4 linked regions of the Struthio camelus genome follow. The protein of the gene in region 2 purifies or fractionates together with the protein of the main gene of each other region. This does not show direct contact. Links are inferred from orthologs where the notes say so. Each region holds a gene or a part of one and is shown on either strand. Other genes may lie near its edges. The genes, in order: MRGBP, RUVBL1, EPC2 and H2AZ1.

Evidence for each region.
Region 1: the proteins of RUVBL1 (region 2) and MRGBP purify together in Homo sapiens (co-immunoprecipitation; 6 studies listed by BioGRID and IntAct, counting the BioPlex papers as one, with this or other methods). This does not show direct contact. The link is inferred for Struthio camelus from reciprocal best matches to the Homo sapiens genes RUVBL1 and MRGBP.
Region 3: the proteins of RUVBL1 (region 2) and EPC2 purify together in Homo sapiens (co-immunoprecipitation; 3 studies listed by BioGRID and IntAct, counting the BioPlex papers as one, with this or other methods). This does not show direct contact. The link is inferred for Struthio camelus from reciprocal best matches to the Homo sapiens genes RUVBL1 and EPC2.
Region 4: the proteins of RUVBL1 (region 2) and H2AZ1 purify together in Homo sapiens (affinity purification with mass spectrometry; 6 studies listed by BioGRID and IntAct, with this or other methods). This does not show direct contact. The link is inferred for Struthio camelus from reciprocal best matches to the Homo sapiens genes RUVBL1 and H2AZ1.

What each region holds. Positions count from the first base shown.
Region 1 is NC_090959.1:16,133,706-16,141,513, forward strand, and holds the start of MRGBP (MRG/MORF4L-binding protein), read left to right. Parts: upstream 1-4,804; coding exon 4,805-5,036; intron 5,037-5,573; coding exon of another isoform or gene 5,574-5,585; coding exon 5,586-5,707; intron 5,708-6,235; coding exon 6,236-6,317; intron 6,318-7,808.
Region 2 is NC_090955.1:7,417,574-7,424,766, reverse strand, and holds the start of RUVBL1 (ruvB-like 1), read right to left. Parts: upstream 3,020-7,193; 5' UTR 2,919-3,019; coding exon 2,778-2,918; intron 2,070-2,777; coding exon 1,983-2,069; intron 1,358-1,982; coding exon 1,225-1,357; intron 1-1,224. UniProt on the Homo sapiens protein: Possesses single-stranded DNA-stimulated ATPase and ATP-dependent DNA helicase (3' to 5') activity; hexamerization is thought to be critical for ATP hydrolysis and adjacent subunits in the ring-like structure contribute to the ATPase activity.
Region 3 is NC_090947.1:43,602,512-43,610,453, reverse strand, and holds the start of EPC2 (enhancer of polycomb homolog 2), read right to left. Parts: upstream 3,016-7,942; 5' UTR 2,756-3,015; coding exon 2,603-2,755; intron 1-2,602. UniProt on the Homo sapiens protein: May play a role in transcription or DNA repair.
Region 4 is NC_090945.1:27,839,269-27,846,162, reverse strand, and holds H2AZ1 (histone H2A.Z), read right to left. Parts: upstream 3,018-6,894; 5' UTR 2,717-3,017; coding exon 2,714-2,716; intron 2,558-2,713; coding exon of another isoform or gene 2,477-2,557; exon of another isoform or gene 2,253-2,476; intron 2,239-2,252; coding exon 2,161-2,238; intron 1,708-2,160; coding exon 1,594-1,707; intron 1,125-1,593; coding exon 995-1,124; intron 848-994; coding exon 786-847; 3' UTR 448-785; downstream 1-447. UniProt on the Homo sapiens protein: Variant histone H2A which replaces conventional H2A in a subset of nucleosomes. Nucleosomes wrap and compact DNA into chromatin, limiting DNA accessibility to the cellular machineries which require DNA as a template.

The sequences.
Region 1 (7,808 bases), on a different chromosome or scaffold from region 2:
TTACTCATCTTAGTCCTGAACGGTATTGCTGATGTATCTTCACTGCAAGCCAAATTTCAAACTAAGCTGTAGTTACCATAGCTTTCTGTAACCACAGCACTACCGTTTGCCAATGCATCGGGTCCATCCTAGGAAGCAATCTTACCAAGATGTTGTACCCTAATGAAGCTGCAGGGTATTTGTGAATACATCCAGACATTCAAAGTAGAAATGGAAAAGAGGGCCCTAACATACTCTCCCAAATCACCAACTTGCATATTTCATCAAGGTTTGCATGTGCCTGAAGGTGCTTTGTGAAAATCTGCTGCCACCCTCCACCACAGTGGAAGGCGGAGTGGAAAGGGCTGTTGTCATTTAATTATCAGCTAGTCAGGTTTAGTGCTTGTCTGTTGTCCTTCTGGAGTCTCTTTATGTTTATGTAGTTTCTTTTTTATTTTTAGGAGTAGTATTTTTGTTTTGAAAGATGAATAAAAAATAAAGTCTCAGAGAAAAAATGATCTGGAGAATCCTGATCACAACACTGAAATTAGCAAAGAAGAGAATCTCGGTAGATTTGTGTTGACCAGCTGGGATAGTGCGGCTTGAATTTGGTATGCAGTTTGGGTGCAATCAATAAAAATCACCTTCAATGAACCATGCCATTAAGTCTTCTGGTGCTGATTCAGGATAACCAGACAGTAATGAACAAATTCTTGTGCTCTCCTGGTTCATCCGAAATTTACTGACTCTTCTGGATGCTTCTTTGCAAGCCTGGGACAAGATGGATTTATTAAACCGAAAAATCAGTAATATGTTTTCTCCTTTCCCACTCCCCACTCTGCACTGGGGTATTTTGAAAGCTTAACAGTAGCAGTAATAAACGCCTCTGTGCGTCCTTAGAGATGATTATTTGCACTGTTTTCAGCCTATTTTTCTAAGGCTTGCCATCTGATGCCCATCTAATATCTAGCCTCTCTCTGCTGGGAGAATGAGCACAACAGATCACAAGGGAAAAGTTCAGTTCAAGAACATATGTTTCAGCAAATAGAAGGTATCCTCTGTCTGACAGCTGCTTCCCTATTCTTTGCTCTGTGTGTGTGTCTGTTTTCTTACTTTGAATTAAATGCCATATTTTTGCCCCCAAAAGAAGTCATGGAGGCCTACTCTGAAGGAGAACTCCCTGTTCAGTGTTCCTATTTGACACAATGAAATACACTCGTTTGCTAAGAACTTGGGTGACTGCAGGAAAGCTGGAGAATATCTCCCAGCTGCCAGAAGAGGCAGTGCTGTGCTAAAGGGCAGGATCATAGGACACAGATGAGATTAGAAGTCCTCTTTTCAGAAGGAATTGAGAAAGGAGCTCATTTTTGGAAATGCTGAAATACGTCACGGCACTGAGATCACTTCCCTTGTACGAGTGTTTACTGAACGGAGAGTAATTTGGTGCAGGATTGGGCCCAGAATTCATGAAAAAGGTGCATGTACTTGTGCGTGTAAAAACTAGGTATAGGCATAGTATAGTAACTAATTACCCAGCCTGTTACTAAGAAAAAGCAGCTGCGGCTAGTGACACACATCCAGCATTAGGTGGCAGTGACTTCCAAGCACATGCCTCTGCTCTGGTACTGAGCCCTGTCCAAGGTCTCGAGCAAACTGTTTGATAGTTCTGTTTCTCAGCTTCGGTAAAATAAAGCTGGTAATGCTGTCTAGGGGTCCCGTGAGGTTCCATTTACCTACATCCGAAAAAATCTTTGGGATTCTGTACTGAAGATGTTCTAAAAACGTCTAGTAAAAGCTACGTAGCTGGGTTTAATGCAAAAGGATGTAGATGACCTCCTTTTTATAAATGCTCATGTGGCGTACCGAAAATTATCCAGTGTTCAGAAAGAAGTTTTTATTTCATTAAGGGCACTAACACATGGTGTTCTAAAATAATGACAGAAATAGTTGTAGCCATATTGCTTATCCCAGAAATCCAATGTTTCTAGAGAGAATGCCAAATGCTAGGCATATTTCTCAGTTGTTCTGACTGCGATGTCTTATGAAATATGAGATCATATCTCCCGAGGGCCATAGCATAATCTAGCAAAGGGCTGAGCACCTTTTGTTGCTGTAATAGTCAGCCAGATTTCTATGGTTAAGAAGGATCTAAAATGTAAGAAAAAAAGGATAAGAACTGAACTGTGCATGTCCTACATTGTTGGTATCTGCTTAAAATCAAAAGTAAAGTTTAAGATTGAACAAAGGAAGGAGGGAAAAATTGTTACGATCTGAAAAATCTGTTCAACAAGGGGGAAAAAAAAAACTTTTATGAAAATCAAAAATAGAAAAATTTAAATTCTGGTCCCAAGCCATGTCGTGGCTGCACATGACTTTATGATAGACTTGCATATATGTTTTCTAGAGGCACTGAAAGAAACAAGAAAATTTAGACACAAGGAAATGTAATTATTTGCCATTGAAATAGAATAGCAATCAGTTTATGCATATACTCTTCCTGCTGAATTAACATTATTCTACTGAATTAAATTATTTTCACATGCTATTGTACTTTCAGAGGTAGCCATATGTTTTTCACATTTCGTTTCACATGCTACTTTTTTAATCATCAGAATTTAATGACATAAAAATTGCTATCTGAGTTGACACAATTACTCCCTCTTGATGATAGTCTTTAAGTAGAAACACAATTTGACAGATGAGAGCGCTGAAGCTCAGTGTTTCACTCAGACTTAAAATAATCTCTTCCTGCAAAACTTTGAAAATTAGTCTATGAAGGAACAATTTGTCTGCTCTGTAATTTATTTGCTTTTCTTCTTTCTTCTTCTTTTTTTATGCCTAGAAACATTTGTATGAAAACAGGAATTTAGTTGTTCAGGAACTCATTTACTCCTGCTGTGCAGTCATCACAGGAAATCATAACCTTCTCTTTTGATAGCAAATTAGGACTAGGTAGCAACATAGATCAAATAAACATTAGAAGATTAAACAGATCTAAGAGCCATATTAGATTTAGTACTTTATTAGATTTAGAGGGCTGCATTTAACTGGTAAAGTATGCACAGTTGATTTCAAACTCAGCAAAATCTTGTTAATCAAGTATTTTTGGCTTCAAAGGAGGAAAGTATTGTGAAGTCTGAGCTGTTTAACGGCAGGTTCATCACAGCCAGAACATACATACAGAGATGAGAGCAGATAGAAAAAGTATTTCTGGAGTTTCCTACAGTCTTGAGTGGGAAAAAGCCATTCTTGCAAGAGCTCTGTCAGTCCGGACAGAGCTCTCACAAAAACAGTTATTCCTGCAAAATTTCAACAGCATGTAAACCAGACTGGGGTGAGAGATTCCTTTCCATTTTGAGACACCAGCTGGAACCCGGATGGAAATAAGAATTTGTCTTCAGGAATTCGTATCCAAGACTCTTATCGTCAAAGGTGCCAAGACTTCAGATGTGAAGTTTTGGATTAAACCCATTTCACATATTCGCTTAATGTTAGATTAATCTGTTTTAGGTTTAAGCATTACATCAGGCCCCAAAGAATGATATGAGTTAGTTAATTCTTTAGGTATCAAAGGTACAGAAAATTTTCCATTTCAGAAAATTTCTGTTTTCCCTTCCAACTTTTTATTATTAGGATACTTTGCACGAAAACAACGTCTCTTTGCTTGTGAGCTTCTTCCCCCACTGTTTTATTATTCACTCGGAATAGTCATTCTTTACATATGATGTCATTGCTATGTGCTATTGAAGTTACTTTAATGTCACAAAAAGGATTAAGATTTCAAGTGATGAGTGAGCAATAGGAAAACCTGATCACCTAAGCAACAGAAGTCCTGTTTCATGCTTGTGTGTCTAATAATACCTAACAAGGCAAAAAAAGAAGAAAAAAAAACATATCACAGAGGGAAAGATATATACTCTTTTTTCCTAAATGAAGTATTTTTTCAATGCCTTAAAAGACTAGCAAAGCTAGTGGGTTCCACATTTTAAAGCATTTAAGGCGTAATTATTTGTTAAGCATCAACGACGGGTTCCAATAAAATGATCCTGTTGTCACAATGATTAGCAGTTTGGGGGCTTGGTGCATCATTTGGGATCTTTCCTTAGTGTAATCCCGCGTTTCGGGCGGACAATGGGAACGGGGGTGAGCGCTGGGGTGGCCGAGGCTATGGCGACAGGGGGGTTCGGTGTCAGGTCTGCCGCCAGCTCTGTCTCTAATCTTCTTGTTCCACCTTCCCCCTCTTCGTTTATCTCAAACAGCAGCTCTTCGGGTCACTTAACGCTGAAAAGCCTCTACTGTATCTCTGGTTCCTCTGCGTTTTACGCCAGCGTCAGTATTACTGCTCTAGGGTTCTGCCAAAACGTCGGCAGAACAGGGCCGGAAAGGCCGTTTGGGGCGTCCACCCTGCCCTGCCCCACGGCCGACACAGGAAACCCTAAAGCTTCTTTCTCGCTTGGTGAAAATCTTTTTGGGGACGTGAGGCGGCCTAGCCCGTCCCTCGGGGCAGAGCCTCCGCTGGCCGCCAAGCGGTGCCGCTGGGGGCACGGGCGGCAAACTCCCCTCGAAACCCGCCCCTGCTCCACGAAAGCGCCTAAAAGGGGTATTTTCCCCTCAGCCCAGAACCACCCCAGGCCGCCTCATGCCGCATCGCCTCAGGAGCGGGGCGCCGCGCGCCAACCGCCAACCGCCCTTCGCGCGCGCCAACCGCCCGCCCCTCGCGCGCCGCGGCCCGGCCGGCAGGAGCCGCTGCGGCGGCGGCGGCGGCGGCGGGGCGCGGGGCGGCCGCCAGGGGGCGGCGCGGCGCTGCGCGCGCGGCGGCGCGGCCATGGGCGAGGCGGAGGGCGGCTCGGCGGGCGCTGTGGAGAAGCCGCCGCTGCCGGCGGCGGGGCCCGGGGCCGCGGCGGCGGTCGCGGCCGCCGCCGCCGCCGTTGCGGCTGCCGCCGCGGCCGCTGCCGCCGCTCCGGAGCCTGGCGTGCCGGCGGAGGAGGCGGTGGTGGTGTGGAGCCCCGAAGTGGAGGTTTGCCTCTTCCACGCCATGCTGGGCCACAAGCCCGTAGGTGAGAGCAGGCCGCGGCCGAGCCGCGGGCTCGAGTAGCGGCGCTGGCCGGGGAGGAGAGCCGGGCGCCGGGCGCGGAGCGGCGAGGGCCGGGCGGGGGGCGTGTGAAGCCCCCCCCCCCCCCCGGGGCTGGCGGCCGCCGCCGCGCTGCGGTGCTGCCCCTAGCGGCCTCGCGGGCCCGGGCCGCTCCCGAGCGAGCGGCGGCGCTGCGGGGACGGAGGCGCCGGCCCCTCCCGGGCTCGGAGCCAGCCGTCCTCGCTGCCCAGCTCCCTCGCCTCCCGTCTTGCTTATTTTCACTTATTTCCCTTTTATTTTCACACTGGCAGCTCTGGCTGCGGCCCCGTGTGAAAGTACCAAGCGGGGCACCCGCTGCCCACCTCCAGAGCAGCGCCTGTAAGGCAGAATGAAATACTAGGCTGCCCGGCTTGTCGTGCGTCTCCCTGCCGTGCTGTATGATTCCCCTCATTGTTGTAATAATGATTTTTTTTTTTTTAATTTTCTGGCACAAGTAATAACTGTCAGTGTTAACTTCTCTGAGTTCTTGCCCCAGGTGTGAATCGCCACTTCCACATGATCTGTATCCGAGATAAATTCAGTCAGAATATTGGACGGCAGATTTCCTCTAAAGTGATTTGGGACCATCTGAGCACCATGTATGATATGCAAGCTCTTGTGAGTATAAAGTGATGCAGGAGTGCTCTTATTTCCTGTAGTTCAGGAGTTTTGATAGGACAAAATCACTCGGCCTCTCGTGGTACCAAGAACTAGGTATCATGTGGTAAGTTGATGAGGATTTCCCTGTATGAAGGTACATTAGGTGGGAGATAAGGGAACCTGCAGTGTTTTTGTTTTTTCCACACTCGGTGCTGACTTTGTGTGATTTTTGGTTGCCTGAATGCTGATTCGGCAAACATTTACGTAGATACTTAACTCTAAGTGCCAAATAGGGAGGATATAGCGTGCATAAGTAAGAATTTGCCAAGATCAGGTCCCAGGAGTACCTCGTCATGATTGCATATGTCTTGATGTTATTATCTGGTTTGACGTACGGAGCCTCCTGATTCTCCAGGGTCTGAAGTATTTTGTTAAGAATTATTTAGCTACTAATTGCATATAAAGTAGAATTTGGAATTGCATTTCTAAATCCAAACTAAATGTTTTATCAAGATCACTCATAGAAAGCTTTGTTTTCTTCCTAAGCACGAATCTGAGATTCTCCCGTTCCCCAACATAGAGAAGAATTTTGTTCTTCCTGATGAAATGATTCAAGAAGTGAGAGAAGGTAAGAAGTCATAGCAACCTTTTATTCCTGGCTGACCTTAATCTCAGTTCAGAACAAGTAGCTTAACAGAACTCCAAAAAAAGAAAATAATAACATGGCAATCCAAGGCTGTTCTTGGCCGTTCACCAATGGTGGTGTGTTGGAGGCATCAAGGAAAAGAAGTGTTAAATAGATACGACTTTATCTCATGAATTTTTAATTTGCTGACAGGGAAAGGATCACACTGCTTGTGCTGTTCATATTGTCAGTATCAGCCTCTGTGACTGCACAGTCAGAGACCTGCTAGTGGGCTATGCAAGCCTTTGGTCTTATTCCACACAGTATTTCTCATATTATTAAGTTTAGTATGGATTGGACGTTACTAATGGACAAACAGGTTCCATTTTTACCATTTAGATGCAAATTCTCGTTTTAGGTATACGTGAAAGATCCGCATGCTTCACTGATGCCTGTATGCAGAATGAGAGGCAAAGTGCGGTTGTAGTGTAAAATGAATAGTAGGTTATTGTGGGTGTTTTTTCACTTTGTTGCGACTACTCTAGTATCATGTCTGACCGTAATTTTTGCTGAAATAGGTGATCTGCAGACTTTTATATGGTTCACATTGTAAGATCTTTCAGGAGCAGGATCTATGGAACTGATGAAAATAAGATTTCTGAATATAATTTGTATAAATTTCCTGTATACAATTAGTATATAATAACATTTCTGTGATAACAATTTTCTGTACATGTAATGAAATAAGGCAGTTAAGTAGCAATTCAGCTAATGTTTAAAAGTATGCTCCAGGAATATTCTCTTACTGAACATCTGCATGTACAATAGCTAGAAAAACTTGCTGCTTGGCCATGGACTTTACCAAGTACTTCTTGTGCTTGTGTAATCATTGCATTGTTAGTGTTAGGGTATTGGCTTTTTTTTTAAATATGGTTCATATAGCTTCCTTTTAAGAGCATTACTATTTTTTTATGTCTGAAAACAGAGATTTTGATTGAAAACAAAAACAATATTAAATGTTCAGAGATATTTGTAAAGATTTAGTGTGGTTTCATTGCACTGTAAAATCACTTCTTCATGTTTTTATATTCTTAGGATTCAGCTACCTGATACTTCCAAAGCTCACTCCCTCCAGATGGGTGTGTCTGTGTTGTCTAATCCAGTAGAACTCTCCACCAGCTTGACAGAAATCTTAGATTAAATAGTGCAAGTCAGATTGTCAAAGCTTAGCTGTATGTCTGTTATTTAGTACTTGTTATCCAAGGTAGGAGCTAGGAAGCTCAAGCATCTGCACCTTTAATCAGGCAGTTATAGGGGCATGTCGAACCACAGTCGAATGCTTCTCAGTCATTAGGTGCAATAAACTTTACACTAATAGTTCAATACAAAATCATAATAAATCTGAGGTACAGCAATATGTTTTGCCTACTTAGCATTTCCTAACTGTTCCTGTTAATAATTCCATTGGAATTTTTTGCTGTGTGGTGTCTGCCA
Region 2 (7,193 bases):
TAAAAAGTTGGATCTTTCATTAACACCAATATTTGTTTAGAATTTTCTCTCTACTGACATTCAGGGAATGCAGGGAACTAACAATGTAGCTGGCTGTTAACTAGACAGATTTAAAATACTGCTATCTCTAGAAATGACAACACAGATGGCATAAGTTTCATCTGTTGGTTCAAGTTTCAAAATCTCTGACAGGGAACTTCATCACATCAAGGAAACACTGCAGACTACTTAGAGTCTGGCTTCCCTCCCCCAAGCCCTGCCAGATTTATGGTGACTAGAAGACCAGAGATTACTGAAAATTGCTTTCTTATGAAAGTCAACGGAATAGTTTTGTTTGGTTGCACCACTGAGAGATTTCTTCACCTTACTGCTATGAAATACTTAGATGAAGTCTGAGGGGAATAATGATACAGAAGCCAAGAAAATTAACTGTTAATACGTTCAGTACTAAAGTCAACTAGGCTATCTTTAGGCAATCCTCATAAACAAGGTCCACTTCTAACTGCATTTATCAGCTGTCAGCAGCAATCATATAAAAGATTGTAGATACTCAGTGGGCTGTGTTGCAAATTTAACCAACCTATATCAAGCTTGTAAAAGCCTTGTGTCTTCCTCTAGAGCTGAGGAAGATATTAGGTTAAGGCATTTATTTCGCTGGCATGGAACTCACTTTGTGCTCATCCGAAATAATAAGTTAGGCTGAACGTTGCCATTTGGGAGTCCCTGCTTAAGACTGTTTGCTTACTACGGTGAAATCATTAAAGAAAAAAGGAGAGAGCACTTTGCCGTCTACCAATATTTCTGTTAACATAAAAAAACTAAAATAGCTTTTCTTTCAGCTTTTTTGAGAGCCACAGACAAAACCAGGAGATGAATCTGGAAGTTGAGAAGTGAGTCTGGGGAAGAAGAATGAACCAAAATAACTGTGGGATATGATGACTAAATTATGTCTTATATGCAGAAAACCCTACCGTCTCCATTAAGGGTGGAAGACGTTCACCCAGTTAAGATGAGCACTGAAAAGAAGAACAGGCTGTGATCTGACAGCCACCAAGGCCACTTAGAAGCTTTTCCTTTTTAGATTACGGGGCAAAAACAAAACCAGAATCACAGAATGGCTGAAGTTGGAAGGTACCTCTGAAGATGATCTAGTCCAACCCCCCTGCTCAAGCAGGGTCACAAATCATATAAATACTTAATTCTTCTATTTTTTCTGAAACTTACCAATTGCCCTCCGGAAGTTTTCCATTAGGACTTCTGTTTTCTTGATCTCAGTGGAATAGACCTCACTTCCAACCATAGGACAAAAGGGAACTTTACTTCCCAGTTCCTGAGCAATAGCTAAAGCTAAAGCAGTCTTCAAAAGAAAGGAAAAAAATTACGCACTTCATTTTTCATGAGAACAAAGGATTCTTTCTCCACAGCACCAACTTCACTCATCATATCCTATTTCATCCAAACCATCACTTTAATACTACTCCTGTTCTGTCTGACTTACAGACTTCTCACATATAACTACCACCCCACACCAAACAAATTCAACACACATAAAGTAGCTTTTATCTAGGACTTGCACAACACTTTAAAGAAACAATACCAGGCATTTGAATTTGACATCTGGTACAAAAGGCAATAAGCGTTAAATAACAAGAGAAAAACAAAACAAAGCAAAAACTTTTAAGGCCTCTAATACTAAATTAACTTCTAAGACTTTTCTTCAGAATGCACGTTACATATGTGTTTGGTTAATCTATATAAGATAGTTTCACGCTAATGATGCCTGAACAAACCACTGCATACCGCTACTGTTGAAGCCATGGCAAAAATCAAAACATAAAGCAAGAAACCATGGCAATACAATCATGAAAAAACCTCCAGTAGATGGAAACCTCCTGCAACTACTGCCCTACAATGGTTTTGACAACAGATTGACCTAAAATAATTTGGGGATACTTTACTCCATATCAAAAGAAAAATAATACCTTGCCAGTTCCAGGAGGTCCTGCCAACAGCACAGCTCTTCCAGCCATTTTCTTGCTTTTGATTAATTCCACTATAACCCCACATGCCTATAAATTAAGTAAACATTTAAACTGTTATGAAACGCATTGCTATAGTATCTTTCGTTCCAGTGTTATTTAAAGTACTTAGAGATATTAGGCTTTGAGAACCCACTAAAATTAAAGAAGACTTCAGTTTTAAGCATATAAAAGTGAAGCAAGATCAGGGAGACCTACTTCTTGCAATCATTTTATTTGCTGAAGAGATTGAGAAAAAAGTCACAAGCAACAAAACCCAGATGTAGAAGCACAGACTTCCGTCAGTCCCAGGATCCCCCGGTCCCTCCCAGGACTACACACACACACTAAGGTTTAAGAATGAAGCAAGAAACGGCTCTGTGACTTTCAGAAAGACAGAATGGCTAAAGCGCCGGCCCGGGGCCAGCCGTCAGACTGCAACTGAAGCGCCGGTCCCTAGCTGCACCAAATCGCTGACTTTAGGCGGGCTTTCCTGCTTTCCATACCTCAATTTCTACGCCTAAAACCCGGGACGCTGTCACCTGCCCGCGGCGCCGGGTGATACAAGAGTAGCGGCACAAGGAGCAGCCCAGGGCTGCCCGCGCCGCTTCCCAGGCAGCAGCGGAGTAAGCGGAGGAGGCCGGGTCGAGCCTCGCTCGCCGAAGGGAGCGGGACGAAGGGGAAGAGGGGCACCCGGCGCGCACAGACCGCCGTCCCGAGCGGGCCGGGCCGGGCCGGGCAGGCCGCGCCGCCGCTCACCTCCCGCGCGTTCTCCTGTCCCACGAGCCCGGCGCCCGCCGGCTTGGCCGTGCCGCTCTCGTCCAGCCCCAGCCCCTTGACGTGGCTGTGGGCGGCGATGCGCTGCGTCTTCGAGGTGCTCTTCACCTCCTCGATCTTCATGGCGGGGGCCGCTCCGCTCCGCGCCGCACTCCCCGCACGCGGCCCGCGCGTTACCAAGGCTCCCGGCGCGCGGCCGCCTCGGCCCGCCCCGCCGCCCCATTGGCCCCCGCCCCGCCGCTCCCGATGCTTATTGGGCGCGGCGCCTGCTTGTCACCCCGGGCGGGTGCTTTTCTTTTAGAGTCCGTCTACCCGCTTCCGCGCGCGGCGCTTCGGGAGGGTCCGGCCGGGTGCGGGCACCGCGGAGGAGCCGGGCCGGGGCCAGGCAGGGCCGGTGGAGGGACTGGGCGGGTACCGTGACGCCTGGAGGGGAAATTCAGCTTTTCTTTGCTCGGCAGTCACCTTCCCCTTCGCTTAACCAGCCTGGGGCTCTGCAGGGTCCTGTGGCCGGCCACGGGGCAGGCGGGCGAGGGGAGCGAGGCCTTCCCGAAGCCAGCGCCAGGCCTAGCTGCGAGAGCGGGCCGCCCCCTCGAGGAGGGCTTGCTCGGTGTTTGTCTGCTGGGAGTCTTGTGCTGAGTTCTGGTTCTCCACCTAACTGAGAAATAGTTATGTTTTTCTGCATATCCAAAGCATTTCTTTAAGCAGCTGTGGTTTTAGCTTGGCTTTCATACAGCTCGCGTGTGCTGTGCCTAGACCAAAAATGCCCTCTTTCTGGGCTTTATGATCTCCTGAAGTGGAGGGAAAAATACTTCATTTTCTCAACAGGTAGCTGCAGAGTTTACCCTTGTTTCCTTAGCTGTGCAAGGCTACAGCTTTTATACTTGTATACCCTACTGCTCAAGTGATAGTGGTCTAGCAGTAACTGCTGCCTCTGCTGTTTAGGGTTCAAATGCCTGAGATGGACATGTCTGACTGTGAAATCTGAGACAGGACCTCGGAAGCTGCTATTCCAGCAATTTACTAGTGTTTATCATCCCCGTTTGTAAATGTTGGGATTGCTGTCCCAAAAAAGGAGATTCTCTTCCAGTGAATTTGTTGTAGTTTGTGCACTTGATTGTAAAGCAGCGGCTGTGCTTGTAGTGTTCAAGGTTAGCGGGTGAGTGCGATAAGATGCTGGGTTGCTGTCTGGTGTGCCACGGGATAATGCCCGTTCAGCTCCTCTGTGGCCTGCCAGGGCGAACTGCCAAAGCAGCTGGGTGATAGTATGAGCTATGAGAGTGGCTTCTAGAGGCGATGGGTGTTGTATTTGAGTTTACAAAAGCCTGGTGAACACTTTTAGTCATCTTCTTTTTGTCTAGGGGCCTCCATTAGTTGTTATTCATTTAAAAAAGAAAAAAAGTTATTTGCTGCTTTCTTTTTTTGATAACTTGTTCTATCAATTTATATTTACATAATCTAGCTTAAATTGCAATTAGAATATAATTGCACACATATGGCATAGTTCAACACGTTTGTAAGAGTATCATCTTCTGTGACTGTTTAGCTAAGAATTCCTCTTGAACCTAATAAATATAAGCTATCCTTTAAGTAATTAAAAAAGTATGTATACTATTGGGCTCTTTACATCCTTTTGGGGCTATATCAGTCACAGAATACAAATGCCTAATATACTAAACTGCAAATTCTCTTTTGTATAAGAGCAAATAAACAGCTTTGATTTCTCTAGTGCATTGAACTGCTGCAAGTGTTGTGGGTAAGTCCGGTCAGAGTTCAAGTTTTTGCTGATTCTAGGAAAAAAAAATAGCAAATTCTCTAAGACTTCTGCTACGCATGGCCCTCCTTTTAAAAAAGAAGGGCTGGTAGCGGGTGAAATACATAGCCATTAGTTCAAATGGAGTGTATGGACAGATTTCAGTCTAAGTCATTATCTTGTTTGAAGTTGCAGTTAGGCCATTTCTGAGACTACGGTGTTCCAGAGTTTACTTGGTAACATTTCCTTGTTTCTCTGTGATGGATTTCTGAGTATAAAAATGTAGAGGGCAAGGACAGAGAATTGCTGTTAACTATCGTTATAATTTAGAGGAAGAAGAGAAATATTCCATTTGTGTAAAGACCAGATATGCTGCAGAAGAATCTTGAACTCTAGAAATACTAATGCAGTTTACAGAGTATTTGATAAAGATCAGTAGTGTAGCCATTTAGCATGAGAGGAAACTGAAAAACAGAAGTGTTAAATGTTTGTCTAACAACATAATGTTTCCAAAATAGAATTGGAATAGAGCCTAACAGTCAGGCTGCTAGTGACCACCTCTGTTCAGTAAATAAAACTAGTGCCGTGTTGAAGGCACAATTTTAGTACTGACTGCAGAGATTGTTATGAAAATGGTTTGGGTTTGCATTTGCAGTAAAAGCTGATATTTCAATTAAAAAAAAAAACAGTAAACAATTGTTTGTTTGGCAGAAGTGAGGCTGGTTTCTCCCTCTTACTTGCCTGAGTTGGTATCAATTTAAGAGACTTTCTCTCATCCATAAGCTATGATTGGTTTGGCACATTTTATTGTATTGATTATTTTACTCATTCCATATGTTCTTTGAGCACCATACTGAAAATGCAGTTAAAGGGCAGAAAGGAGTACCTTTAGGTGAGGGAAAATAAACAATAGTCCTTTAGACCACACAGGATTAATTGTTTATTCCTCAGAAAGAGCAGAGTACAAGTGGAACTACTGGAAAGCTTAGAGTGGAACTTAAATAGCTTAAATGGTCTATTAAAGTTGATGTCTAATGTGTAGTTATGATGCATCAGCTTGAGAAATAGTGAACTGCGGCCTAATGTGACTTTTGTGATCTCGAATAGCTAACATACTTATTAGAGCAGGGGAGGGTAAAATTATTTTGTTGAAAGGCATGAGTCATCTTTCTCCTTTGTCCATGCCAACAAACGGAACATAAGTAGGTTGTGAGACCATTCTGTCCATCTCATATGCTGTTATAGATGCTTTGAGCATAATTTAATATTTCACTATCCAGTTAACCAGAAAAATAATACCTTTCGCTAACAGTCTGAACTACTATTCCCCAGGTTTAATCAACTCATTTTACCAACATTTCCCGGCCCCCCCCCCCCCCCCCCCCGCCAAACCGTTTGAGGTCTCTTATTTGGCACAGACGTCATGTGATACCCGATGTGGGAGCTGGAGACTTGAGAGCTGTTTTCCTAGACTAAATGTTTGAGGTTACAGGACATGGCCTAGTTTCACATAAGCTTTCAAATTTCAATGGGACATGCTGAATCCTGAAACTGTCAAATAGTGTATTATTTTTAGAGTGAGAGAGAGTATGTGTGTGTGAGTGTGTGAATGACCTTTACATTTTTACCCTATCCCAAAAGTCTGACTTCCTGCCCTTTCTCCCCTGAGTCCTTAAAAACGTTAGCAATTAAAATGAACACTTTTAAGGAAGAAATTCAGTATAGGAGAGAGAAGAACTGGGAAGGGGAATGGTACATTGAAGAGAAAACAAGGAAAACAGCTAAATGCTATAAACGCGTTGCTTTGTGACAGATGCAGAGAAATAGAGGACTTGAGATTCTTTAATTTTTGCCTTGTTCCTCTCTGCATCTTAGTAATATCAAGATCTGTGTGTCATTTCCTTCCCTGCTCCACAAAAGGAGCTGAAAGCTTTTTCTACTCTTCATCAAAGAAGGAGGAGTGATGAATCTTAACAAACGCTCTCTGTTAACTCCTAAATCTGTAACTAATTCTAAAACTAAGTGAACAGAATGAAGCTGTCTGAACACATAAAAGTGCTCATGTCTCTATCAAGCTTCTCCTCCTTGCTATTGGTGACATGAGTGTATTAATTTTACAGGTACTGTGTAGACCTTGATCTTGCAAAGAGCTCTGCCTTCAGATAATACTTTGCAAAATCAGATCCAGAGACTGCAGATTCCTTGACAGAGGTATGTTTTGAGTGGTACCAACAAAGTTGTGGGTACAGTAGCAAACTTATGTTTTTTCCATTAAAGTGCAAGCTGTTTAAAAGTAAATTCCCTTCCACCCAAGGACAATTGCCTTATCTAGAGAGTTACAAGTCTCTCCTGTATCTAAAGGGAGAAAAATGAGAACAAACGCATGTTCCCACCTTACAGCCCTCCTTCTTGCAGGTCACTGCTAAGAGTATAAGGCTATTAAATAAATGCAACTGATTTTGTGAGCAGTGGAATTAAATAGACTTTCCCATGGATTTGTCTTCCTTCCTTACATACCCTTAACAAAAACAATTCTGTTTTTTGCACATGAATTCTGTCCTGTATCCCTCTGGTTGTCTGGGCAAAGAACAGCTCTTGCTCTGTTTCACTAGTAAGCTGGCAGCCCAAGCAAAATGGGTGACACCTGA
Region 3 (7,942 bases), on a different chromosome or scaffold from region 2:
TGCTTCTGCAAAAGCAGTGATTTATGACATTTTAATACAAATAACCTTAGTATTAATACAAGAAGCAGGTGACAATGATTAGAATTCCCTGAACTTTAACCCTATCCACGTTCCAAACACAATACTACTACTTAAATAAAAACTTTATCACCAAAAATAAATCACACTAAAAACAAATGGACTAAAATCTGCATTTCTGTATATATAAAATATTAATCACGAACAAAGCAGTTCATATGCCTGTACCAGCAAGACTAGGTTGTAAAGAACAGCAGGCAAGACAAACAGAGCAACCTTAGCTATTTTAAAACTTGAGAAATCTGTAAATATATATAATTATTTCCAGTTAAAAATCAGATCTGGAAGACAACACTTAACCCCATGATCCACTGTACTGCAAGATCCTTCTGTTTTCACTGAGGCTTTACAGATATAGCAGCACACCAAGGATGGAAGTATACTGGGGCCACAGTAACATGAGCTTTGTGTCTGTGTACAGCAAGTTCAAATCATGAGCTATCCTAATGGTTCAGCCACCTTTCACAGGATGTATCCCTGGCAGAAGTCTGAGTTTAAAAAGGTCCTGAGACACCTAAGTAACTGAGATGTCAGAAAGGAGTATGCGTATATACCCCTCCTCCAAAAGTCCCTCTCAAAATAGACCAAATCACATCTGAGTAACGCTTACTATGATAAAAGCTGTTTAAAGTGAAGCCCTCGAATATTTAACTACTGTCATCTACAACAGCAGCCTTTCCCAGAGGTGCTTTACGTGCTACTAACACAAAAATCTACATCAAAAAATTATTTGTGCAACCCAGGGAAAGGCCTATACCCTAAGTGAAACTGTCATTACATGGCAATAATATAAACAATCTGTTAATAATATTGTTTGGCTGATGTATTTAGCATTAAGCTTGTATACTGCATCAATGACCATGTCATTCTGAGATTATGGCATAATATATCAAGTACAGCCACATTTCAGTGCAGGAAAAAAACATACAGAAAGAAACATTTTAGTATAACACTAGAGCAGTTTTATTAAAGTATAAATCTAATCCTCTTCACAGTCATTTAAGCAGCCCACAAGCACCTTGCTTGAACTCTTAGAGAAATTTTTCCACTAACAAATTTAAAATATGAGTTAGCAAGAAAACATTTTTTAAAATAAGCCACACTTAATAAACATCAAATGCAAACAGAGGACTACAAGGCAGACTTTATTGAAATCTAAGAAAACCATATTACCCTCCAAGATTGCTGCATTAGTATCACATCGCTGCTCATTTCAAATACGCTCTCAGAGTCTGGGGCAGATTTACTCTTTGGAAGTTTTGATCACAGTGCATTACAGACTGCAATACGGTGAAGTAAGCAGCAGAAGAAACCAACGGTAAGAGAGAGAAGGACGACTTCTAATATCAATAGTCAAGTGAGAAAGCCAATCGGAAAGGCACGAAGCTTCCTCTGACAGCTGTAACCTCTGAAAAGCCAATCCACACGCACAGAGGTTTGGCTGAGGCGGAGACAGGGATTCATTGAAGAAACTCTTGAGGGTGCCTTTACTATCAGCTCAACATGCAAGTGCAGACACATGAGGGCAACAACCTAAGTCTAAGCTAGACACAACTCGAAGGAGCATAGGAGTCGATGTTTAAGCATCAGTAACACAAAACAGCACACACAAGCAACAGAGCTGTGGGCATACACTTCCAAAGTGCTGCACCAATGCTTTGAAAACCCCGAGAAACTTATCTTTGCCTTAAGGGGACAAAACTTCTTTCTCTCTATCGTACTAGGGAAAGGAGAACAAGTATCGCGTACGTATTTTTAAAACTTGCTTAGTTAAAAAAAAAAACCAAAAATCTAAATGCTTAAAAGCATAATGCTTAATGCAACACATCCAGCTGCCGTGCCTGACAGCTGGCGTACACTCTGCAGCACGAAACGCTTCCCCCGCCCAAGTACGAACAAAAAGCGTTCTTATAAAAGCTTTCTCCCAAAAACTACCAAGAATTTATTAGCAGCGCATCTGCCACAACCAGCGTGCTTTAACGCGGCGGGCGGCCTGCCGGCTCGGCACGCCGCTGCCCTGTCCCGGCGCCCCGTCCCGTCCCTCGGCGCTCCGCCCGGGGGCCGCGGCGGCAGCAGCAGCAGCCGCACCGCCGCGGCCGCGCTCCCCTCGCGGGGCCCCCCCTGCCCGGCCCGGCCCGCTCCCGCCGCGCGCACAAGGCGAGCGGCGGCAGCCAAGGCGCGCTACGCCAGCGGCGGCCCCAACGCTCGCCCGCTCATTCAGAGACGCCTCTTGCGCCTTCCTCCTTCTTACGCTAACGTAAAGGCCTGCCCCCCCCCGCCTCCCCCCCCCCACTAATCAAAACACTCGCGAGTCGGGACGCAAAGAAGATGGCGGAGCAGGGCCCGCTTACGGCGTCGGACAGCAGTTTACGCTGCGCTCTTTGCGCAGGGCCCCATAAGAGCCGTGCAGCGCCGCGGCGGGGAGCGTGCGTAGTGCGCTTGGTGAATGCCAATGGCCTATTTCCCGTGAGGGGAGGGGGGGTGTCTGATAAACAATGGTGCCCCCCCTGCGCGGCTCCCTTACCGATTCCTCCTCTTTCTCCATGCCCGTGGGCATCTGCGGCACAGCCCGGTTGATGGAGACGCAGTCGTTGAGGTCGGGCATGTCCTTGCCGCGGTAGATGGGCAGCGGTTTGGCGGCGTCTAGCGCCCGGGCTCGGAAGGAGAGTTTGCTCATTGTCTCCCCCTCACAATAACACCCCGGGGCCGGGCGGGCGGGGGGGCCCCTCACTGCGGCCGCGCCGCCGCCTCCCAGCCGCTCCCGCACCCGGCCCGCAACACCATGGAGGGTCCCGCCGCCCCGGAACAGCTCTCCGCGGGGCCGCCCGTAGCTCACAGCGCACGCCCCGCAGCCCTAGATCCGCGCCGGGCTCGCTCGATCCGCTCCCTGCGCCATGGCAAACATGGCGGACATTAACCAAAGCGGCCAGCGATCCCGACAGCCAACGCGAGAGCTCGGAACGGGCGGGAGGGGGGGTGGGGGGGGAGGCGCGGTGCGCGCGCAGCCTGAGGCGGGCGGCGGCGGCGGCGGCGGCGGCGCTGCTGCTGCTGCTGCTACTGCTACTGCTGCTGCTGCTGTGAGGGGAGGGCGGTTGAGGCGGGCTGGGACGGTAGCGGCGCCGATCCCGCCGAGCCGGGAGAGGGGACCCGCCGTCCCCCGGCTCGGGCGGCGGGGTAGAGTGCGTCACTAGAGGCGGGTGGGCGCTGCGCGGCGCTGTGGCCGCGCGCGCCGACCGTTGGGGCCGTTAAACCGCGCAGCTTGCGCTCGCCTCCCGCCGCAGGGCTCCAGCCCGAGAGCCGGAGGTGGCACGCAGGACCCGAGCTCGTCCCCTCGGCCAGGTAACTCTCACGCCTTATCCAGGCTGACACCTCGGGTGTTTTATTCCCGAAACGATCGGCCGGAAATTTTCCCTCTGGAAACGGCCTGACACCGAGAAGGCGTAAGACGCACCGTGCACTCCCCTACTCCCGTAGTACGTTCGAAGTATATTCCCGGCTGCTCCTCACTGGGACGAAATTTCCTTGTTCTCAGAGATGATCTCAGGTGCTTCAGCCTCCTCAGGCAGATTGTGGCTCCCCAGCAGCAGCTCTGTGACACCTGTCAAGAGTGCAGCCGTAGCAAGTTTTGCTGGCGGTGAAACTTAACGTCTTTATCCTTCTTTGTATTTTTATGTGGGATTACGCGGGCTCATCGGTTATTTTGGGATTACAACAGATTTTAGCAATAAAAACATCTTCAGTGGTGAAGAGAATTCACTTAGGTTGACATAAGTTAACTTGGTGGCACGTAACCGCCCTCCCTCAGATTAGCGTTGTGTGAGGGACGATCAGCCTCCTGTGAGAGACAGCGTTCATGCTGTGCAGCAGCGCTTCAGCTCCGCAGAATCACACGGTCCTCGCTGTGTTCACAGCTCCCTCGCTACCTTTTGGACTTCAACACATCCCTGTAAGGCAGCATTGCTCACTGTTTAAGCATTGCTTCAGTTAGAAATGTGTGCTGTGCAAAACAAGATAGGGTAAAGGCCACAGACTTCAGTTATGTCACAAACTAACAGTGCAGAAATAAGCTCATGCCTGCCCAGGATTTTTTTTTCCTTCAGGAGCGATTTCCTGTATTGCTCTTTACATGGACTTAGCCTTGAAGAGGGGCAGAAGGTCCGTATACTGCAGAATCCTGGTACAAAATTTCTCACGTATGAAATTTTGTACTAAAGTTTTGTCAACGTCTGGAGTTACTTAAGGATAGCTGTGTGTTGTATGCGCTGGCATGCTTCTGCTATAAAAGTGCCCTGTTCCTATTTGGTTTAGCCCACTTGCAAAGTACACTAAGCTAAACAGGAACAAGGCACCCAGCTTACCGAAGAGTACTTTCAACATGGAAGGAATAAACCTGAGCTGCCCGTGTGAACAAGGCTACAGACTTCTACCATTTCAGAGCTTCCCACATCTATTCAGTGTAGTGACTTTAATCTGCAAAGCCCTTTGTAAAAGGTCTTTAGTACTTCAAATACTCATCACTTGCATATTATCCTGACACCTTGCGATCAGGTCAGCTGCTTTTCCTCATCTCTTCCTTATAGCTCTTAGAGGAGTTGTCAGTACAATCTTCTGTCTCTGGAACTAGCTTGAACTGTTAGTCAAATAAAACTTGAGCATGTTTCCCTTTGGAGTACATGCCAACCGAGAATAACATTCCATTTTTTTTATTTTAAAAAACGTTGACTAAGTAAGTTCAGTCACTGAATTTTGCAGAGTGATTTAGAGTTTGTTATTAGTTACCTGATGCATTTGGTAATTATATAGTTTAAATGCAACTCCTGTTCATGATAAACACAACATTTACAAAATGAAGAATAAAGAATTGCATCAACTAGAGAGAGAAATAGAGGAGATGATGGATCAAGTGCAATAATGCACAAGAGGAAAAAGAAATGACAATAACTTTACCTACATAACCCATAGAACTGCATTAGCTTGGGAAAGAGATCTGGAAATTATGTTAGCTACTTCTATGAAAGCATCAGATTAATGTTCAATAATAGTCATATGAACAAGTGAAGCATCAAAGATTATGAGAAAAGGAACAAAGAACAATACTGATACACTGCCCTTATTTATAATTTCCTTTAAATATTTTTACTCATAAAGAGACAATTCTTGATTTGGATTATAATTAACACCCTTCATGCAGAAGCATATCATAAACCAGTTCAGAGAGCTAAGTACCAATCTTATGTGCTTATAGCTGCCAAACCTGTGTAGGAGGTGGACGGCTTCACTCTTCATCAGCTGAAAATTTGGAGCATGTTTCAAGAGTTAATGCCATGTGCTAACAGTAGAAAACATGCGGAACTTGTATTTAAGCCAGGCAAGGAGATCTACAGCAGCACCTCTGAATCTTCCATTACTGCGAATCAGGAGCAATTCTGTTATGGGAATTACTCCACAGAGATTCAGGTTCTGAACTTCCTTCTGCAGTAGAGATTTGATTAATTTTTGACAGTGCCTTCTGACAATGTTTCTGTTTGCACAAACACTTGAAGTTGTGTAATTTACAGTTTCGAATTTATATTTTAGTTAAGCACCATTTGAGAAGCAGCCAAATTTCCACCACCCAAAATTGATTTGATATCCCCAGATTAACAGTTGCTTGGTAGTAGCTGAGGGCTGCCATTTTTCAGAGAGCAATTGCAATGTGCTTCTGCATGAGCTTTGGATTTTCAGTCTTACCATGTAGCACCGAAAGACCAATATTCAGATCTTCAGTCAAATTCAACTTACAGGCTCTTTCTGAGGGGGGAAACTGTGCATCCTGTTCATCCTCGCTGATCTGTATAGCAATGTAGTCCCACCACCTGAGCCCGAGAAAGTAGAAATTAAAATAAGGATAGAGTAGTTGACAAAGTATATGAGGGGCATGAACTCCGGTGTCAGTAAATAAAATGCATTTTCAGTTCATGGTTCATGAATTTTCTGTAAAAACACCCATTATATAGATTCCTTAGTTGTCAGTTACATAGTTGCAGCCCTGCTGTACAAATAACACGCACTTGGAAAGGTTAGGCTAGCTGCATGGGACAGGCAGTTCCTTCTGAGGTACTTCCTCAAGTAGTTAACTGACAAGAAGGATTTTCCTCTTTCTGCTTCCCATCCAGCAAGAAAGAGGCATTTTATACACTGCCATAAGATTTTTTTTTTTTTTGCTTTTTCAGTTAGCACAATTGAACCATAGATACTAATAACCTTACCCCCTTTGTGTGCATGTTTTGTTCGTTCTTCGCTGCTTAAATCAAAACAGAAAAAGATGCAGCATATTTACCCTCAAGGTGGCTGTTGGTCCCATTATTTTATTTTTATGCACAATGCAAGTTTTTTTTAAAAGATGCCCTGTGGTATACTGAGCTTTTTTTATATAGTGAAAAAAGCCATTGCACATAGCTGAACATGAGTAAAACTAAAGCTTCAACTTATATTAATACTATGTAGCTTAGCTTTAAGCCAGAACCATACATCTTTTTAGTACATACTCTTATCTCTTCACCTTGCAAAATATTACCGATTTTCTGAAGAATTTTAGCTGTAGAAATAATTGCCAGCTGCATTTGACCTAGAGATAAATAGCTTACTTTTGATGCACAAATCAAGGAATCAATGTCGCAAACAACATAATTTGTTCAGTAGTTGAATCCTGAATTGTCTTCATGTTTTCTATGTAAAATAATGCAATTAAATATACACACTTGTATGCTGGATGGACCAGAAATAGCCAGATTTAATTTGCACACATATATCTGTGGAAATCTATGGAAATCTGTTAGTCAGGATGAAAAAGAAACCCAAGAACTGATGGTTTGGCTCCCAGCAAGTATAGTAATATTTGCTCTAGCCATGATTATTTTTCAGACTTCCCAGACTGTTGGTCTCTGTGAAAAAAAGATATCCGTTTTATTATAAGTATCCAGTTAACAATGTAATAGACAATGATATATAATGTCATAGAACTTCTAGGATACAGTTATAAGATGGTAGGAAAAGTATGTATCACCCTTTTAGAATATAAGGTATGTATCATACCTTAGATACAGGCTATGGTGCTTTATTAGCTCAAGCACAGCACATCCTTGCTTGTTGTTTCTGTTTCTCTATAACGACTTTTAACACAAGGAATGCTTGGCCACACTGTAGTTGGTTAAAGGCTGGATCATATGTGGAGGTCTTTCTGCAGTTTTTTTTCTCTTTTTCTTGCTAGTAATTTACAGTTCACTGATCTTACACGAAGCAGAAGAACTGTTTATGGATAATTACGTTAAGAATTCTCAGTGTACTTTATTGCAGTATGACGTATCATGAACATTTAGTAGTTCTTTGTTTTATATGTGCTGTTTCCTTGTAAGTACAAGGTGGAAAGAAGTATAAAAAACTGCACGGACAGTATAGAAGTACAGATTCCAGAAGTGGTTTATGGCCTCTGAAAAAGCATAGTACAGTTCAGTCTTGTAGGGTGTTTGAAACTTTAATTAATTGTATAGTATTAAAAGTTAACTAGAATTTTAGGATGCTAATGACTTGACTTGTAAATGCCCAGAAGTAATCATCTAGATACCAAGCGTATAAGAGAATTATCTTTGAGTGTTAGTCCTCTGCAACACGCCAAATACATACTGCATGAAGGTTTGAAGATAAGATTGTGAAAGTAATGATGATGAGTCAGTGCTCAGAAGGCAAATGTTTCCGATGTCATTGACACAACTATTGTGTATTCAGGGTTCCTGTCTTGGTAGCAGAAGCAGCAGCCTCATTATAAGAGATTTTTGATCTCACAGTTAAGCAGAGCTTCACTAGAAGAGAGCCTAAAAGCAGCCAG
Region 4 (6,894 bases), on a different chromosome or scaffold from region 2:
ACATTTCTCATTGCTTTTACAGACTTGTCCATTGCCCTTCACTAGAAGAAAAGCTATAGAAATATGCAGGCAGAAGTTTATATTTTCAGCCTCCAGTCAAAAAGCTCCCATTCTTCTTCATCCACGATAGCTGGAAGGTTACTAGCAAGTAACACTGTCCCGAAATAGCAGAGCCCTCAGATATACCTTTCTAAAAGGTCATTCTATGCATCAGGCTCAATTATTAAGAATCTGTTTCAACCTCATGAGGTGAAGCATGCACACCATGTCACTCAGAGATGGCTGTATCTACTAAGTGCAGAATTCTAGGACTATGTTTCCATTTGAAAATGGACACCTGCAGTACTTCGCAGCTTGGAGAACTGTCACAACTGTGTGTTCTTGGAACTACTCTTCTTCAGGGCTCCATTATTGAGACCAAGTGTTTTCCAGTAGCACATGAGACAATTAGTATTGATATAACATTTATTGAATATTTCCACTCTAGTGGATGAAAAGTCTGTACAAAACCAAACATTTCCTTTACTTAATCAAACCGATCTAAAAACAGTCAGCTCAATCAAAACCCACTACAAATACAATAGCTTCTTTGAAGCCATGGTAACACTTAAATACGGTTAAGACTTCAATGCAGAAATTTGGTTTGTTAGAAAGCTCGGTGAGCTTTAGCTTCTCAAAGTTACAAAAAGGCAAAATTGTGTTTCACAGATACAGTCCACTGGAATCACCAACACTGGACAATTAAGTACTTAGAGTCCTGAGATAACACAGAATCCTGGTATCCTTTAGACAGTTTTCTGTTGTCCTTTCTTTCCAATGAGAGACTTGTGGATATGTGGTATTACACCTAAGAGAGAACAATACCAAGAATTAAGATCAAGTTATTCCATGTTATCAGATTTGGCTAAACTTTACACTTCAAATAGATTAAACAACCTTTGAGACTACTGGACTCCTTGTCACTTAACACAAAGTTAGAAAGCAAGTTACATACCACCACCAGCAATTGTTGCCTTAATGAGAGAGTCCAATTCTTCATCTCCTCTAATTGCAAGCTGCAAGTGACGGGGAGTGATACGTTTCACCTTCAAGTCTTTGGATGCGTTTCCTGCCAGCTCAAGAACCTGAAGACAAGAACATTTTCAGATTGAGTTAAGCAAGTCACACGAGACCAATTGCATTGCTTTAGCAATTTCCTTCTTTACAACAACTGTATAGTTACCGACAAAAAGATATCAAACAATGCGTCTTTTTTAGCCAGCTCCTCTTTTAGAGCTTTGGATTTAGTTTCCCCCAAGGAAAGAATGATGTTTTGCAGCAGACAGAACATGCTGTAACTGCACATTTTATGAAGTACTTCACCATTTGTGTCTTCAACATAAGCCACAGCTACTTGCTCTGCATAAAATCCAGAGCAAAAATTTCCATACATGCTTTATGGTCTCCTCAAGAAGCATGTACTTCACAAAACAGGCTTAAAGCAAATGAAGAGTTCATAACCCAGTCTGAACTGGCAAAATACAGGAGACTCCAGTCATTACACCATTTCAGCTGGACTGACCAACTTGCTTGTACCCCTTGCAGCAGCTTTACCTCAGCTGTCAAGTACTCCAGGATTGCCGCGCTATACACAGCAGCTGTAGCTCCTACACGCCCATGGCTGGTGGTCCTTGACTTCAGATGCCTGTGGATGCGGCCAACAGGGAACTGAAAGATAAGAGAAGTAGGAGTAGGCTGTCACCATAGAAACAGAAGAAAAACACTATTCTGAAATACTCTGGCTGCAGGGATTCTGTTGTCTAGCATATGCAACTGGTGCTAGTTGAATTCTAGTGCCAGAGATGCTGTGTAGCACAGAAGACTACATTTCAACACCTAGTATACAGTGTCCTTAGCTGGATTCCCCAGACGACATCAGCAACTTCACTTCACAAACCACTAGCAGTAGCAACCGCAAGGCAATTCTCTTCCCCAGCACAGATGTACAGCAAGTCCAGAGCATGCTTGAGCCAAACACTGACATATTTGAGGATCAAACAGATCTTTACACCATTCCAAATAATGGACAGAAGGCACAGCCTGTCCAGATTTCAAAAGGTACCACCTGCAAGCATAAAGCCAACCTGACTTCCATCTGCCCATGCCCCAGTCTCTGCTCACCTGCAAGCCAGCCCTCTGAGAACGGGACACCGCTTTGGTCTTGGTCTTTCCAGAGTCCTTCCCAGCTTTACCACCAGCCTAACAAAGAAGAGATACGTGTAAGAACAGATACGTCCGCGGCAATGCTACATCCCCCGCCTCTCCTCCCCTACCTGTCAGGGACCGCAGCCAAGGTCTCAGTCAGGGACCGCGCAGCGGCGGCATCCTACCCGCGCATGCGCTCCCGGCCCTTCCCTCCCGCAGGGCGGCACGCGCTACGCCAAGGCGCGTGCGCTCTGCCCGCTACACCTAGCGGCACAGGCCGCTCGCCGGGCGCATGCGCCGCAGCCACTCCCTCTCCCCGGCGGCACCAGTGCGCGTGCGACCCTCCGCGCGCCCCTCCCCCGCCTACCGGCAGGTAAAGCGCCTGCCGCTGCTTGCGCGCGCTCACTCGCTCCCTTCCCCCGCGCGTGCTCCCACCTCCTCCCAACTGCCGCCACCGGATCGCCTCGCTCTCTGCCATCGCCGAGGCGGCGCGGCCCCGCGCCCCCCCCTCCCCTGCGCGGCTCCTCACCATCGTGAACGGGACCGTAGCGCCACGCACGGGGACACAGAGGAGAAGAGCGTCCCGCACGCACCGAGCCCAGGCGACAACGCTGACCTGCCCCGACGCGCCGCGATTCAAACTGCGCCCGCTCCCGCCTTCCCCCGGCGCTTTATAACCGCCGAGCGCGCCTGCATCCGGGAACCCCAGCCTCGCCGCCAGCCAATCGCCGCAGGCTGGGGCGGGGCGCCTTCGCACGGCGACAACCAATGGGAGGGGCGGGGGGGGCCGCGCCGACCTCGCTACGACAGAGCTGAGGGGGGCGCTGGCGAGCGGCGCCGTTCCGCAGAGGGCCCGCCCACATTTAAAGGAGCAGGAGCCTACGGCTCGCGCCGCGGCAGGGGGGGGGCCTGTTCCGCCATGCCGGGCTGTGCCGGGGCCCCGCCCGCTCGGGGCGGCCGGCGGTGCCTGCGCCGCGGGGGGTGGGGGGGGCGCGGCCCTCCGCTGGGGGAGGGGGTTCCGAGCCGCCCGCGCGGGGAAACCGCGGGCCTCGGCCCCAACCGCCGCTGCAGCCGGGTAACGGCCGCCCGGCTTTGAACCGTGCGTGTCGTGCCCCCCCCCACCCCCGCCCCCGTTTTCCAGTTACTCGGCGCGGTTAAGACGCCTTCCCCGAGGGAGCTCGGCGGCACGCCCCGGCAGAGCTGTGCTTGATGGCTTTATGCAGCTATTTAAAAGAGAAGCTGAGCGCCTGTCAGGTAATGAGCTGTGTATTAGCCAGCGAGATTCTGAAAAGCCTTTTCAGCATCTTGCGTGCTGCTAGGTGGGAGAGTCATAGCCGTAAAAGCATTGCTTAACCAGTCGCTGTTATTAGGTTTCAAGCTCTCAGGAGCTCAAGTCAGATTAACAAGATATGTGAAGTGTGCTCTGATGTAAAATTGCCATCTGAATGGCACCCACTCAGTTGTCACCTCAGACTGCAGACACCTTCCTTCTCTATCAGGAAGTCAGAGCTGCAGCCTTGCATAATCCGCATGCTCGTGTGTGCGCACAACAAGCCTTCCCCACCCCAAATACAGCAGCACCTGGCTCCCACCTGCCCCCCCCCCCAAAAAAAAAAAAAAAAAAAAAATCAAGACATGAAATCAAGTCCTGAAGGCCTCCCCAGACTTCTGAACAGGAATAAATCAAATTGTTAACCTCCCCCCCACACTTCCCTCATGCAACAGTGTTTCCTATCTCACCTGCTGCTTTTGGCAGCAAAGGCAAGCCAATTGTGTGCAACCCTTAGCAGCACACAGAGCGCTTCTCCTATTCCAGCTGCCATCACCATTATTGCAGCTGCAGGAGATGACAGGGATCAGAGGAGGTTAGGAAATGTGGCATTCATAGTAGAAAGCAGATGAGGTTTAAGGACTTGGTGGGGTTACCTGCATGAGAAGTGTTTGCCAGAACTCATCTAGTTGATATTACTGTAGTGCCTAAACTTATAAATAATTATTGCCATGTCCCATTGGACACCCAAGAGCAGGAAGTCTGACAAGACCCTATAAAGGAAGTACTAAACATCAGTCAAAGACAACCATAGTTCTGTTACAGCTATATGGCAAATGCATGGTGCCGGGCAGCTTCTGCAAGAAGCATAGTCTGTTGAGGTCCTTCAGAGAGAATATAAGTCACATGAAGCTACTTGAAAGTATACTCACTCTCACAATGTATAATTTAAGGTGATGGAAGAGATTGTGCTATTACAGAGCAGCCTACAAATAAGGGGGTCTTTATGCTATACAAAGATACTATTTGATAATCATTCTCAGTCAGTTCTTCGACTGAGAGCCTGAACATGATGTGCTTCACACTTTAATTTATCATGTTGCCAGCTGAAACACTTCAATGAAGTTAATTGACTTAGTGTACAAAGCAGTTTAGAAGCAGACGGAATGAGGTTACATCTCAGACTTGGGATGAGGTGCTATTGCTATATTGGCAAACACATGAGGCCAACCAATGTGGTTTCAGCAGAGATGAAGTCACATCAACTGCTTGTGACACTGGGGGAGGGGAAGTGCCAGCATGTCAAACAACTGTGCACACACGCACTAGTTTTTATTTTTACCTCAGTCTTATGTAAGAGCCACATGATTACCAAGGGCAACCCTGCTTCAGACCCATTCATCTTACTGAATATTTCAAACTGTAGTTAAACCATTCATTCTGAATTCAGTTCTTTCCAAGTATAACTTTAAATTAATGCAGTGCAGATGTCCTTTGCTTGGGCACTTCAAAACCCTGCCAATATTGCCCTGAAATGAAGCCTTAGCCCCATTTTTTTGGCAGGTGCCATTTCCAGTGCAGTATAGTTATTTCTGCTGCAGAAAAAAAGCAGCAGACTGGCCATTTAACCTCAGAAATGATTTGTAGGTTTTGTCTGTTAATTTCTCTTTCAGCTCTAAAAAGCTAACTATTCATGGTGCAATTCCAAAACATGATAGATCTTAGTTTTAGATGATGTCTAATTCACCTGGGAGCATCAAACATGCTCAGGCAGAAGTCCTGGTACTTCAGTGAATGAATAGCTGTTTAGAGCTAAGACTACCTCAGTCTGTCATACACTTTACTAATAAAAATCACCAAATTACCCTTTCAGATGTGAATATGTCTTTCCTTAAACCTCAATATCAAAGAGTCCAAGCAAGAGCAGTACTCTTACAGACTGAAGTTTAACAGGAGATGGAGCTGTTGACATGAACTTTATGTAAGGCTATTCTTCTCCACAACTTTTCTTTCTTCCTATCTATAACAAGCCAAAGATACAGAGTTCTAAGATACATGTCTAACTGCTGATGCCTAGAGCTCGTCCTCAAAGTCTTTTCTGCTATATACTAAAATAGTAAAGATTTAAACTTCATTACCAGGGTACCTATTATTGAATGTCAGCCATGGCAATAAGAGTCTCAAATCAAGTTGACACTTACAACCACTTTATGAGCTTGAGCAATTTTACATCAGCAAAACAGACAGAAGAGCTAATAGTTTAGGTGTCTTTAGTTGCTAACCAGCTACCTACGAGCAGGAGTCCGAGTCCCAGGGAGCATTGTCATTTAGCTGCTCTTTCTTCAGAGCCATGTGTTCAGTGCACTGGCAGAATGGACTCTGCCCGAGTCTTCAAACAGTCCCAGATCATATCATCACTACCCTTTACCTCCAAGTTTCAGTTCAGCCATTTTATGCTAGCTAGTCCCACTTCAGGGTAGAGACCTAATTCTATCTAGCTAGGCACAAGCACAAAGGCAGGATCACATTAAGAGCAGACACTCCTACATTCAGGAATTTGGCGTTTTGTTTTTATATTGCTGTCTGGTGCCTCTATCTATTTGAAGCATTAGTTATTTATATTTTCCTTCAACAAACTCCAAGTTAAGGGTTTTTTTTTTTTTTAATGTTAAAAAAAAAAAATCAAGATTTTTACAGAAGCCTGCAGAAGTTAGGATTTCATTCAACCTACTGTTTAAAAAAATGGGTTCTGTCTGAAGTGCCTAGCAAGGATCAATTCACCCTCTTCCTTAAAGGAAACAGAAGCCCATTTCCAGGCCATAAGACCCTCTGGTAATAGTATACTGGATGCAGTAGGAAAAAATTAATTTTCTTGCTGGTTTCTGTCCACAGAAGTCCTAGGAAACAGAACAAAGAGGACTCCTACCAGATGGAAATAATCCCTACCACAGACATTCCTGGCTTCCCACACAAGTCTCCCTGACAGTTTGCTTCAGCTGCATGCTTTTAGCCACTTAAGGCCTCTTACAGTTCCAGCTTGCACTACAAGGGCAAGACAGCATAAAACTGAAGATGGTGCTTTGCACTGATGTGTTTAAAGCAAGCATAACCCCTCTTAGCATGCATCAAAGATCAGGGTAGGTAGCTACTTAAGCTAATACAAGGATGTATAGATACTGAATAGATCAGGTGAGACATATGTTAGATAGGATCGTATATGAAAGTAGTCTCTAATCACCCTAAACTAGCTAACAAGCTTCTCAACATAACCAGCAATCCCTCCCCCCCCACACTATTTAAAGAGATAAAGTAAAACTAATGCAAGTACTCTAGGATTAGTCCAAAAGCAACTTCAGAGCCACTTATAAACACAGATAACTCCTATTTCAATCCCCTGTATGCAAAGGGAACACTTACCACCTCCATCCTCCTGACACAAC